Saccharomyces cerevisiae S288C: one gene and its partners. Changing the gene in region 3 together with the main gene of any one other region gives a genetic interaction. Each region holds a gene or a part of one and is shown on either strand. Other genes may lie near its edges.

What was found.
Region 1: mutations in SKT5 (region 3) and SMI1 are lethal when combined (synthetic lethality), as found in Saccharomyces cerevisiae (6 studies listed by BioGRID, with this or other methods).
Region 2: mutations in SKT5 (region 3) and CCW12 impair growth when combined (synthetic growth defect), as found in Saccharomyces cerevisiae (5 studies listed by BioGRID, with this or other methods).

Annotation. Positions count from the first base shown.
Region 1 is NC_001139.9:949,241-952,999, reverse strand, and holds SMI1 (Smi1p), read left to right. Parts: upstream 1-2,100; coding exon 2,101-3,618; downstream 3,619-3,759. Other genes in the region: prohibitin subunit PHB2, read left to right, coding at 1-452; BNS1 (Bns1p), read right to left, coding at 693-1,106. UniProt on the Saccharomyces cerevisiae protein: Protein involved in the regulation of cell wall assembly and 1,3-beta-glucan synthesis, possibly through the transcriptional regulation of cell wall glucan and chitin synthesis.
Region 2 is NC_001144.5:369,139-372,199, reverse strand, and holds CCW12 (Ccw12p), read left to right. Parts: upstream 1-2,101; coding exon 2,102-2,503; downstream 2,504-3,061. Other genes in the region: mitogen-activated protein kinase HOG1, read right to left, coding at 1-580; YLR112W (uncharacterized protein), read right to left, coding at 990-1,409; YLR111W (uncharacterized protein), read right to left, coding at 1,477-1,809; thioredoxin peroxidase AHP1, read right to left, coding at 2,889-3,061. UniProt on the Saccharomyces cerevisiae protein: Component of the cell wall. May play a role in the formation of a tightly packed outer mannan layer, which protects the inner glucan.
Region 3 is NC_001134.8:105,306-109,064, reverse strand, and holds SKT5 (Skt5p), read left to right. Parts: upstream 1-1,658; coding exon 1,659-3,749; downstream 3,750-3,759. Other genes in the region: Arf family guanine nucleotide exchange factor YEL1, read right to left, coding at 1-1,133. UniProt on the Saccharomyces cerevisiae protein: Activator of the chitin synthase CHS3 which polymerizes chitin, a structural polymer of the fungal cell wall.

The DNA of each region.
Region 1 (3,759 bases), on a different chromosome or scaffold from region 3:
TAGTGGCCCAATTTAATGCGTCACAATTAATCACTCAAAGAGAAAAAGTTTCCAGGTTGATTCGCGAGAATTTGGTTCGTCGTGCAAGCAAATTCAATATCCTACTGGATGATGTTTCTATTACGTACATGACTTTTTCGCCAGAGTTTACGAACGCTGTAGAAGCAAAGCAAATTGCCCAACAAGATGCTCAAAGGGCTGCATTTGTAGTTGATAAAGCCAGACAAGAAAAACAAGGTATGGTAGTGAGGGCACAAGGTGAAGCCAAATCCGCCGAACTGATTGGTGAAGCCATCAAGAAATCAAGAGACTACGTGGAATTGAAAAGATTAGATACAGCCAGGGACATTGCAAAGATCTTGGCTAGCTCTCCAAATAGAGTCATCTTGGATAATGAAGCATTGTTGCTAAATACCGTAGTGGATGCAAGAATCGATGGAAGGGGCAAATAAATAGCGAAGGCTAGATATTATCTTTAAGAATTGAGTAACAATGTTAAGATGCCATATACTTGTGAATACAAAATAAAGGGAAAGAAAGCGATGCGTAAAACATAAATATTTGTATGTCTTCTAGAATAAGAATAAGGAGTATTACCCCGTATCATCTTGTATTGTTGGAGAACGTATATAGTATAATATGTAACACATACAGCAAAAAAATAGGCCAATTTATGATCATCATCCGTTAAATTAAATGTCTACATTCGGCTTGCGTGGTATATTCTGTTTGCCCCGCACAAACTCCAGTGTTTTGGGTTGCGATTTGGCTGAGAAAAGTTTTGACTTGTGATCATTCAGTTTTCTAGAGCATGGTGAAAGCAAATTGTCTGACGGCGACGCAAATTTTTGCCTAAGTTGCGTGTTCAAGTTTTTCCTTTGATCTTCCACTGCTTTTCTTTTCCGATACGTATTCTTGAATACTTGTCGATGAAGGCAATGCTTTGCAAATGTCTTCGTGTTATGCGCAACTTTAAGACTCATTTTCAAGTGTTGATTAAAAGAATCTAGATTTTCATCCCTCCTGGTGCAAGACACAGACGTATTTTGGATTTTTCTAATCAATTTTGTCACTATATCTTGGGATGCCGATCCGCCGTATGACATCGCAAATCTGTTACTTTTTTTTAGCGCAATGATGTAGTAGCCTCTGATTAACTTTTTTTAAAAAAAAATCACAGATAAGTAGAGGAAGAAGAATTTGCTGCTTATTGGGAACTTTCAATAGAAACCTTTTGTAGAGGATTTCGTTATTTGTTCAAGAGAATAAAAAGGTATACATTTGAAATCCTAGCATTAACTTCAGATACCTTCCACCTTACTAATCGCAGGCCTTTATGACAACGGAGGAGAGTTAGAACGAAGCAGAGAGGCTCCAATCTACATGGGAACATCGCAAAAGATGCGTACTCCGCACTGATCCATTTACCTGCAGGGCTTAACATGCATTGCACCACCGTTTGTACATCATAAGTTAATTACATTCCTTTTTAGGATAGTCTACTATTTATTTTTTCCCGTATCTGGAAAACCCCCTTAGATCCTTGTCACATAATCATAAAAATAAAGGCACCAAGCCCTAAAGCACGTGACATATGTCATTACCCTAGATTACATATAGGGCTTCCAAAGCCCTATTGGAGGTCGAAAAAAAGAAAAAAGAAAATAAAAAAGCGAAAAAAAGAAATGCATAATTCGCAGATTGTTTTTTTTTTCTTTTTCTAATGTCAGTTTTCCTACTTCGAGATCAAAAGAATGTTTTTGCACCGCAACTGAAAAGGTTGTGTTTTCTTTCCAGAGTAAATTACATTTTAATCAATTCTTTGCGCTGCTACGCAATCTTCAAACGCAAGTCCATTCTTAGAAATTTTAGCTTCTCTCAATATTGAAATATTTGCAAATACGCCATTCAAGAATCAAGCCTGTTGAAAATAAAGGTACAAAATTAAATCCGCTAATTATTTTTTTTCGTGTTCGACTAAAGTTATCGAAAAATTGAAAATATACAAGGACTAGCTATACTATCAATACGCAAAGAAAATACAAAATAAACGCACATTCGTTCTATAGGCGACAACTTGGCAGAATTTTTTAGTATAAAATGGATCTATTCAAAAGAAAAGTTAAAGAATGGGTATACTCCCTCAGCACTGACGACCATTATGCAGAGTATAACCCCGATGAAACGCCTACTTTTAACATGGGTAAACGTTTAAACAGCAACAATGGTCAGGTAAATCCCTCTCAAATGCATTTGAATAGTGTAGATGAGGAAATGAGCATGGGATTTCAAAATGGCGTGCCATCTAATGAAGACATAAATATTGATGAATTTACGTCCACGGAGTCAAACGATGGTGTCTCTGAAACCCTCTTAGCTTGGAGACACATCGATTTTTGGACCAGTGAACATAATCCAGATTTAAATGCAACTTTGAGTGATCCTTGCACCCAAAACGATATCACTCACGCAGAGGAAGACTTGGAAGTTAGCTTTCCCAACCCAGTAAAAGCGTCTTTCAAAATTCATGATGGCCAAGAAGATTTAGAATCGATGACCGGTACTTCTGGCTTGTTTTATGGCTTCCAACTAATGACACTAGATCAGGTTGTAGCTATGACTCAGGCCTGGAGAAACGTCGCAAAGAACCTAAACAAAAGATCTCAACAAGGTTTATCCCATGTTACATCTACTGGCTCTTCTTCATCTATGGAAAGACTAAATGGTAACAAGTTCAAACTGCCAAATATCCCAGATCAAAAATCTATTCCTCCAAATGCAGTGCAACCGGTATATGCACATCCTGCTTGGATTCCTTTAATAACGGACAATGCCGGTAACCATATCGGTGTTGACTTGGCGCCTGGTCCAAATGGTAAATATGCTCAAATTATAACATTTGGGAGGGACTTCGATACGAAATTTGTCATTGCTGAAAATTGGGGTGAATTTCTGTTATCGTTTGCCAACGATTTGGAAGCTGGTAATTGGTATTTAGTAGATGACAATGACGACTACTTTAGCGGTGATGGTGAATTGGTCTTCAGGGATAAGAAATCTAATGGTCCTATACAAGATTATTTCGAAGTTTTAAAAAGAAGAACGTGGATCAAGTATCAAGAAAACTTGAGATCACAACAGCAAAAATCTCAACCTGACACATCCTTGCAGGAGCAGAAATACGTGCCTGCCTCGCAAAAGAAAGTGGCAGCTGAACAGCCTTCTACCCTCAACGCAGAATCCATAAAGGGCGAAGATAGTGGTAGTGCAGATGTACAATCTGTTCAAGATCACGAATCTGTCAAAATTGTGAAAACAGAACCTAGCGAAGCGGAGACTACAACTGTAAATACAGAAAGCCTTGGACAAGCAGAGCATGAAATCAAAGCTGATAATGTAGACATTAAACAAGAAAGCGAGAGGAAAGAAGACGAAAAGCAACCAAAGGTTGAAGAAAAAGAACACGTTGAAAACGAACATGTCACAGAATCAGCAAAAAAAGACGATGATGTAAATAAGCAAACAGAAGAAATGAACAAAAAGGAAGAAAATGAAATAAGAAGTGATGATGCTAAAGTGGAAGAAGCGAGAGAAGAATTTGAAAATATAGCTTTATGAAATATCACAATTAACATTCTACAACCAAAAAGAAATTTGGACAATATTTATTTCTATTAAACTGTTCTAGGTAGGTTTCAACCTTAAGAAATTTATACAATATTATCATATATATATATATATATATATAGCACAATTCCC
Region 2 (3,061 bases), on a different chromosome or scaffold from region 3:
ATTTTTGCCACGTTAGCATGATTTCAGGTGCCCTGTAGTATCTAGTGGAAACATAGCCTGTCATTTGAGGGTCTTGAATTCTTGCTAGACCGAAATCGCAAATCTTCAAATCACAGTTTTCATTAATCAGAATGTTGCTCGGTTTCAAATCTCTATGAATGACGCCCGCGGAGTGAACGTATTTTAAACCCCTTAGAATTTGGTATAGGAAATACTGAACAAATTGCTTTTCCAAGGGTCTTGTTTGCAAGAGTCTATGTAAATCTGTTCCTTGTAATTCCGTGACAAAATATATATCTTCCAATGGAGAAAGAAATATGTCCTGAAGGCAAATCAAGTTCTCGTGTCTTAGATGTTTTAGTAGTTTTAGTTCACGATATGTCCTTTTGGCCAGCACTGCAGTGGAAAAAGGTTTCATGATTTTCTTAATGGCAACTGGCTGAGATGTCAAAGTGTCCGTGGCTGAGCAAACCAACCCAAATGCCCCCATCCCAACGGGGTTTAAATCATTGTATCTATTTGTGATCTCGAAAACTGTACCGAATATCTGTGTCCTAATGAATTCCTCGTTAGTGGTCATTATTATATACGATAGTTGTAGTTTTCCCTGTTTTCCCTTTGTTCCTTTTTTTCGAGTCTAGTATTTACCAATATAGAAGAAAGAGAAAATAAATAAGGTTTCTTGTTAGAGATTAGTTACTTTTGCTATTATTATCGCAAATTCCTCTTCCACTATACAAACAAGAAAGTAATTACTACTCTTATTGTAAGATAGTATGATAATTTCGACGATAGATAATATTTGCTTTTCGTTGGCCTTTTCTTTTTTTTTTTCCTTCCTTCCCTTCGAAGATCCTCCCGTATAATAACGCCGCCAGACCATGTAGGGTAACCAGAGAATACGCCCACTCCGCTTTCGCATGTGGCACTCCTGTATGTCAAAATGCCGAATAATCTCCATCCATGACGAAGCGCTTTGAGGTGTTTAATTATATACAGGGCAAAGTCTTGGAGATAAAGAACGCTTTCCTAACAACTTGCGCTATTCCTCTTATTTCCTTCAATCGATTAAAATTAACTTTTAATCGACATTGTCTTTTAAACCAGGGCAAAGCAAAATAAAAGAAACTTAATACGTTATGCCGTAATGAAGGGCTACCAAAAACGATAATCTCAACTGTAAACAGGTACAATGCGGACCCTTTTGCCACAAAACATACATCATTCATTGCCGGAAAAAGAAAGAAGTGAAGACAGCAGTGCAGCCAGCCATGTTGCGCCAATCTAATTATAGATGCTGGTGCCCTGAGGATGTATCTGGAGCCAGCCATGGCATCATGCGCTACCGCCGGATGTAAAATCCGACACGCAAAAGAAAACCTTCGAGGTTGCGCACTTCGCCCACCCATGAACCACACGGTTAGTCCAAAAGGGGCAGTTCAGATTCCAGATGCGGGAATTAGCTTGCTGCCACCCTCACCTCACTAACGCTGCGGTGTGCGGATACTTCATGCTATTTATAGACGCGCGTGTCGGAATCAGCACGCGCAAGAACCAAATGGGAAAATCGGAATGGGTCCAGAACTGCTTTGAGTGCTGGCTATTGGCGTCTGATTTCCGTTTTGGGAATCCTTTGCCGCGCGCCCCTCTCAAAACTCCGCACAAGTCCCAGAAAGCGGGAAAGAAATAAAACGCCACCAAAAAAAAAAAAATAAAAGCCAATCCTCGAAGCGTGGGTGGTAGGCCCTGGATTATCCCGTACAAGTATTTCTCAGGAGTAAAAAAACCGTTTGTTTTGGAATTCCCCATTTCGCGGCCACCTACGCCGCTATCTTTGCAACAACTATCTGCGATAACTCAGCAAATTTTGCATATTCGTGTTGCAGTATTGCGATAATGGGAGTCTTACTTCCAACATAACGGCAGAAAGAAATGTGAGAAAATTTTGCATCCTTTGCCTCCGTTCAAGTATATAAAGTCGGCATGCTTGATAATCTTTCTTTCCATCCTACATTGTTCTAATTATTCTTATTCTCCTTTATTCTTTCCTAACATACCAAGAAATTAATCTTCTGTCATTCGCTTAAACACTATATCAATAATGCAATTTTCTACTGTCGCTTCTATCGCCGCTGTCGCCGCTGTCGCTTCTGCCGCTGCTAACGTTACCACTGCTACTGTCAGCCAAGAATCTACCACTTTGGTCACCATCACTTCTTGTGAAGACCACGTCTGTTCTGAAACTGTCTCCCCAGCTTTGGTTTCCACCGCTACCGTCACCGTCGATGACGTTATCACTCAATACACCACCTGGTGCCCATTGACCACTGAAGCCCCAAAGAACGGTACTTCTACTGCTGCTCCAGTTACCTCTACTGAAGCTCCAAAGAACACCACCTCTGCTGCTCCAACTCACTCTGTCACCTCTTACACTGGTGCTGCTGCTAAGGCTTTGCCAGCTGCTGGTGCTTTGTTGGCTGGTGCCGCTGCTTTGTTGTTGTAAACTTAGTTTATTATTATTTATACATTCTAAATTTTTTATAAACTTTTTTGGCATTTAACAAATATATAACAATTGGGATTTAGTAGAAATTCTTTTAATTTCTTCTTTTTTTTTTTAATCTATATTTATTCTTTTTCTTTAATTTTGTTCGAAACGCATATAATGTTTTTATTGATTTTGTTTCAGGTTCCTGAACCTCGCGGAGTTCCTATTTTACTGTTGTTTTTTTTCAAAACACAGGGGTACCTTGAAGTATACGCAGTGCCTCTTAGCCAAGGATAATATAAACACACTAGAACAAAAAAAAAATACTCCTTGTACAGAATCGTTTTCTATTTTGAATTTTTTTTATATAAACATGGTTTTATTGTCTATTACATAGCATCTACAAATGAGCCAAGACACTTTCGACTGAGGAAACGGTCACATCGGTACCTGGGTTGGTTTCCTTGGCAGCGTAAGTAACGATACCGTTTTCAACAACCATGGCCCATCTACCACTCCAGTAAACACCGTCACCGACGGCTAATTCGAAACCAATGGATTTGGTGAAAGCAC
Region 3 (3,759 bases):
CTTTTAGAATATTTACGTGGTAAAGATTTCTTGCTTATAAGAATTAAATCGTCCATGAACCAACTGGAGCCGTTTTCGGTAATTAAACCGTCATCAAAAGACTCTTTAAGGTAGAGTGCATCCATGGGGTGATTATTGTGAAAGTTTTTATTTGATTTTGCGCTCATTTCTCGTACAGATACTTGACCATCTCTTGAATATAGTGTAGTAGAATTAGAGTTAACACTACGTAAATTTGATGTACTAAATTCCCGTGATCCTAGAGTAGAGAACCTTTTCAAGGAAGATTGGTTATCTGATATATTTATTGATGTTCTAGATTCTGTGCATAACGGTAAAGGCGTTTCATTTAACGTTTTATAGTATTCGGAAAGTTCTTCGATGATCAAATGTTCGCGGGAGTATATTTTCAATTCTTCGTATTCATTTTCCTCTCTTAGTGCCCTCAGTGTATTGTTGATAAATGCAACCATGGAAAACTTAATCTTTTTATGGTCAACTTGAAAGTTGTTGTGCAAATCCGAATTAAGGATCAACAGGGAAAATAAGACTATATGACATGACTTATAGCCTGACTTCCAATGTGTGTTCGGGTGGCAAGCTATCCATTCTATGCTCAAGCACTCTAGTATCCGGTCGATATTTTGCGCTTCTGCAATGAAATATATACTTTTCGATAAATTGAAAAGCGTTTCTAATAGTGACGACGGCAAAGGACTCAATAACTTTACAAACTCAGTCAAGACTTGATTATTGTTATCGTTTCCCAAGAAATTTGCATATTCCTTGTAAGATACATCTTTGAAAGTGCCTTCCAAGATCTCTGAGGCAATAAGATGACTATTCTGATCAGTTTCCTCGGATTGAGTGGAGCTAATATCTTCAGTACCAGTCCCCGCAGTGGCGGTATCCGTAGTAGGTATCACAGGTTTTTCGTCATTAGCAGCTTCCTTGTTTTGTAAAATATCACACATGTTGACCATCGTGGGAGACTGTAGCATATTTTTCATGCTAGTGGGCATCGACTTACTACCATGAAGGACGCCCTCACTTTCACTGAAATTGTCATTGTAGCCCTTTTGTGAGACCCCATAGGTGTCATTCTTTTTTACCTCGTTTAAACTGGCGCACATACCTCTTTGCGATCCCTTAATAGTCCATTGACTGCACAAAATTGTACCATCTAGTCAGCCTTACTGATCTCAAAGTTGATCCGTAAGATCAATGAACCGTCTCTATCATCTATAGATATTTTGCACCCAAACATCGCATTTTAAGTTCATTTGATTTAATATAATACATTTGAACATGCCATCGCACTTAGCTGCCATGTATAGGCCATAACTAATCGCTAATTATTTGTTGCAACTATCTGCAAATCTATACGACATATGTACATATGACTTTCACGAGTCTTCATGCATGTTTTAAGAAAGGTCATCGTTATATTTTCCCACGTTTCACTTCGCGTTTTGACTTGCTAAAAAAAGAACGAAAAATTCTTTCTGCAGACCCTCTCGAGGATGATGTAAGATTTAAGAGTAGAGACAAACTAGGTGTTGGCACTTGACTTTAGACTTGCTGTTAATAAGCCTTCCATTGTATACTACCAGGTTCTCGTCTTTTTTGGTGATAAAGTTAAAATAAAAGGATAAAAAATGGCAAGTTCACCGCAGGTACATCCATATAAGAAGCATTTAATGCAATCACAGCATATAAATTTTGATAACAGGGGCCTACAGTTTCAAAACAGTTCGTTGAAGGTAGGTCAAGATTTTTCAGATAATAAAGAGAATAGGGAAAACAGGGACAATGAAGACTTCAGTACCGCAGACCTTCCTAAGCGGTCGGCAAACCAACCGCTTATCAATGAGCATCTTAGAGCTGCGTCAGTACCTCTACTATCAAACGATATAGGCAATAGTCAAGAGGAAGATTTCGTTCCAGTCCCACCCCCACAGCTTCATCTTAATAATTCAAATAATACTTCCTTAAGTTCTTTGGGAAGTACTCCTACAAATTCTCCGTCACCGGGAGCATTAAGACAGACAAATTCGAGTACATCTCTTACGAAGGAGCAAATAAAGAAAAGAACTCGTTCTGTAGATTTGTCTCACATGTACCTGTTGAATGGTAGCAGTGATACCCAATTAACGGCTACTAATGAATCTGTAGCAGATTTGTCACATCAGATGATCAGTCGATATTTGGGTGGTAAAAATAATACTTCCTTAGTTCCAAGGCTAAAAACAATAGAAATGTATAGACAAAACGTTAAAAAATCTAAAGATCCTGAAGTGTTATTCCAGTATGCGCAATATATGTTACAAACCGCACTGACTATTGAATCTTCCAATGCTCTTGTTCAAGATAGTGACAAGGAAGGAAATGTCAGCCAATCTGACTTAAAACTTCAGTTTTTGAAAGAAGCGCAAAGTTATTTGAAGAAACTGAGCATAAAGGGTTATTCAGATGCCCAATACTTATTAGCGGACGGCTACTCATCCGGAGCATTTGGGAAGATTGAAAATAAAGAAGCATTTGTCTTATTTCAAGCAGCTGCAAAGCATGGTCATATAGAAAGTGCTTACAGAGCATCGCATTGCTTAGAAGAAGGACTAGGAACAACAAGAGATTCTCGTAAGTCAGTCAATTTTTTAAAGTTTGCGGCTAGCAGGAATCATCCCTCAGCAATGTATAAATTGGGACTTTATTCATTCTACGGCAGAATGGGTCTTCCAACCGACGTTAATACTAAATTAAATGGGGTAAAATGGTTATCAAGGGCTGCAGCAAGAGCTAATGAGTTGACGGCCGCAGCACCATACGAATTGGCTAAGATTTATCATGAAGGGTTCTTAGATGTTGTCATTCCGGATGAAAAGTATGCAATGGAACTATATATTCAAGCAGCAAGTTTAGGGCATGTTCCTTCAGCAACTTTGTTGGCACAGATTTATGAAACAGGTAATGATACAGTAGGGCAGGATACATCACTTTCTGTACACTATTATACGCAGGCAGCGTTAAAAGGCGATTCTGTGGCAATGTTAGGTTTATGTGCATGGTACTTACTGGGAGCAGAACCTGCTTTTGAAAAAGATGAAAATGAGGCTTTTCAATGGGCCTTGCGTGCAGCTAATGCTGGTTTGCCAAAGGCCCAATTCACTCTGGGCTACTTCTATGAGCATGGCAAGGGCTGTGATCGTAACATGGAATACGCATGGAAATGGTACGAGAAAGCTGCAGGGAACGAGGACAAGAGGGCGATTAATAAGCTACGCTCAAGGGACGGTGGACTAGCCAGCATTGGTAAAAAACAGCATAAAAAAAATAAAAGTATCAGTACTTTGAATTTATTCTCTACTGTGGACAGTCAAACAAGTAACGTAGGGTCAAATTCAAGAGTTTCTTCAAAATCTGAAACATTCTTTACTGGAAATCCAAAACGTGATCGTGAGCCACAAGGTTTGCAAATTAACATGAATTCAAACACGAATAGAAATGGTATTAAAACGGGTTCTGATACAAGCATCAGGAAAAGTTCTTCCTCAGCAAAGGGAATGTCAAGGGAAGTTGCTGAGCAGTCGATGGCAGCAAAGCAAGAAGTTAGTTTATCAAATATGGGCAGTTCAAACATGATTCGTAAAGATTTTCCTGCAGTAAAAACTGAGTCAAAAAAACCTACAAGCTTGAAGAACAAGAAGGATAAACAAGGTAAAAAAAAAAAAGACTGTGTAATTATGTAAGTACACATAC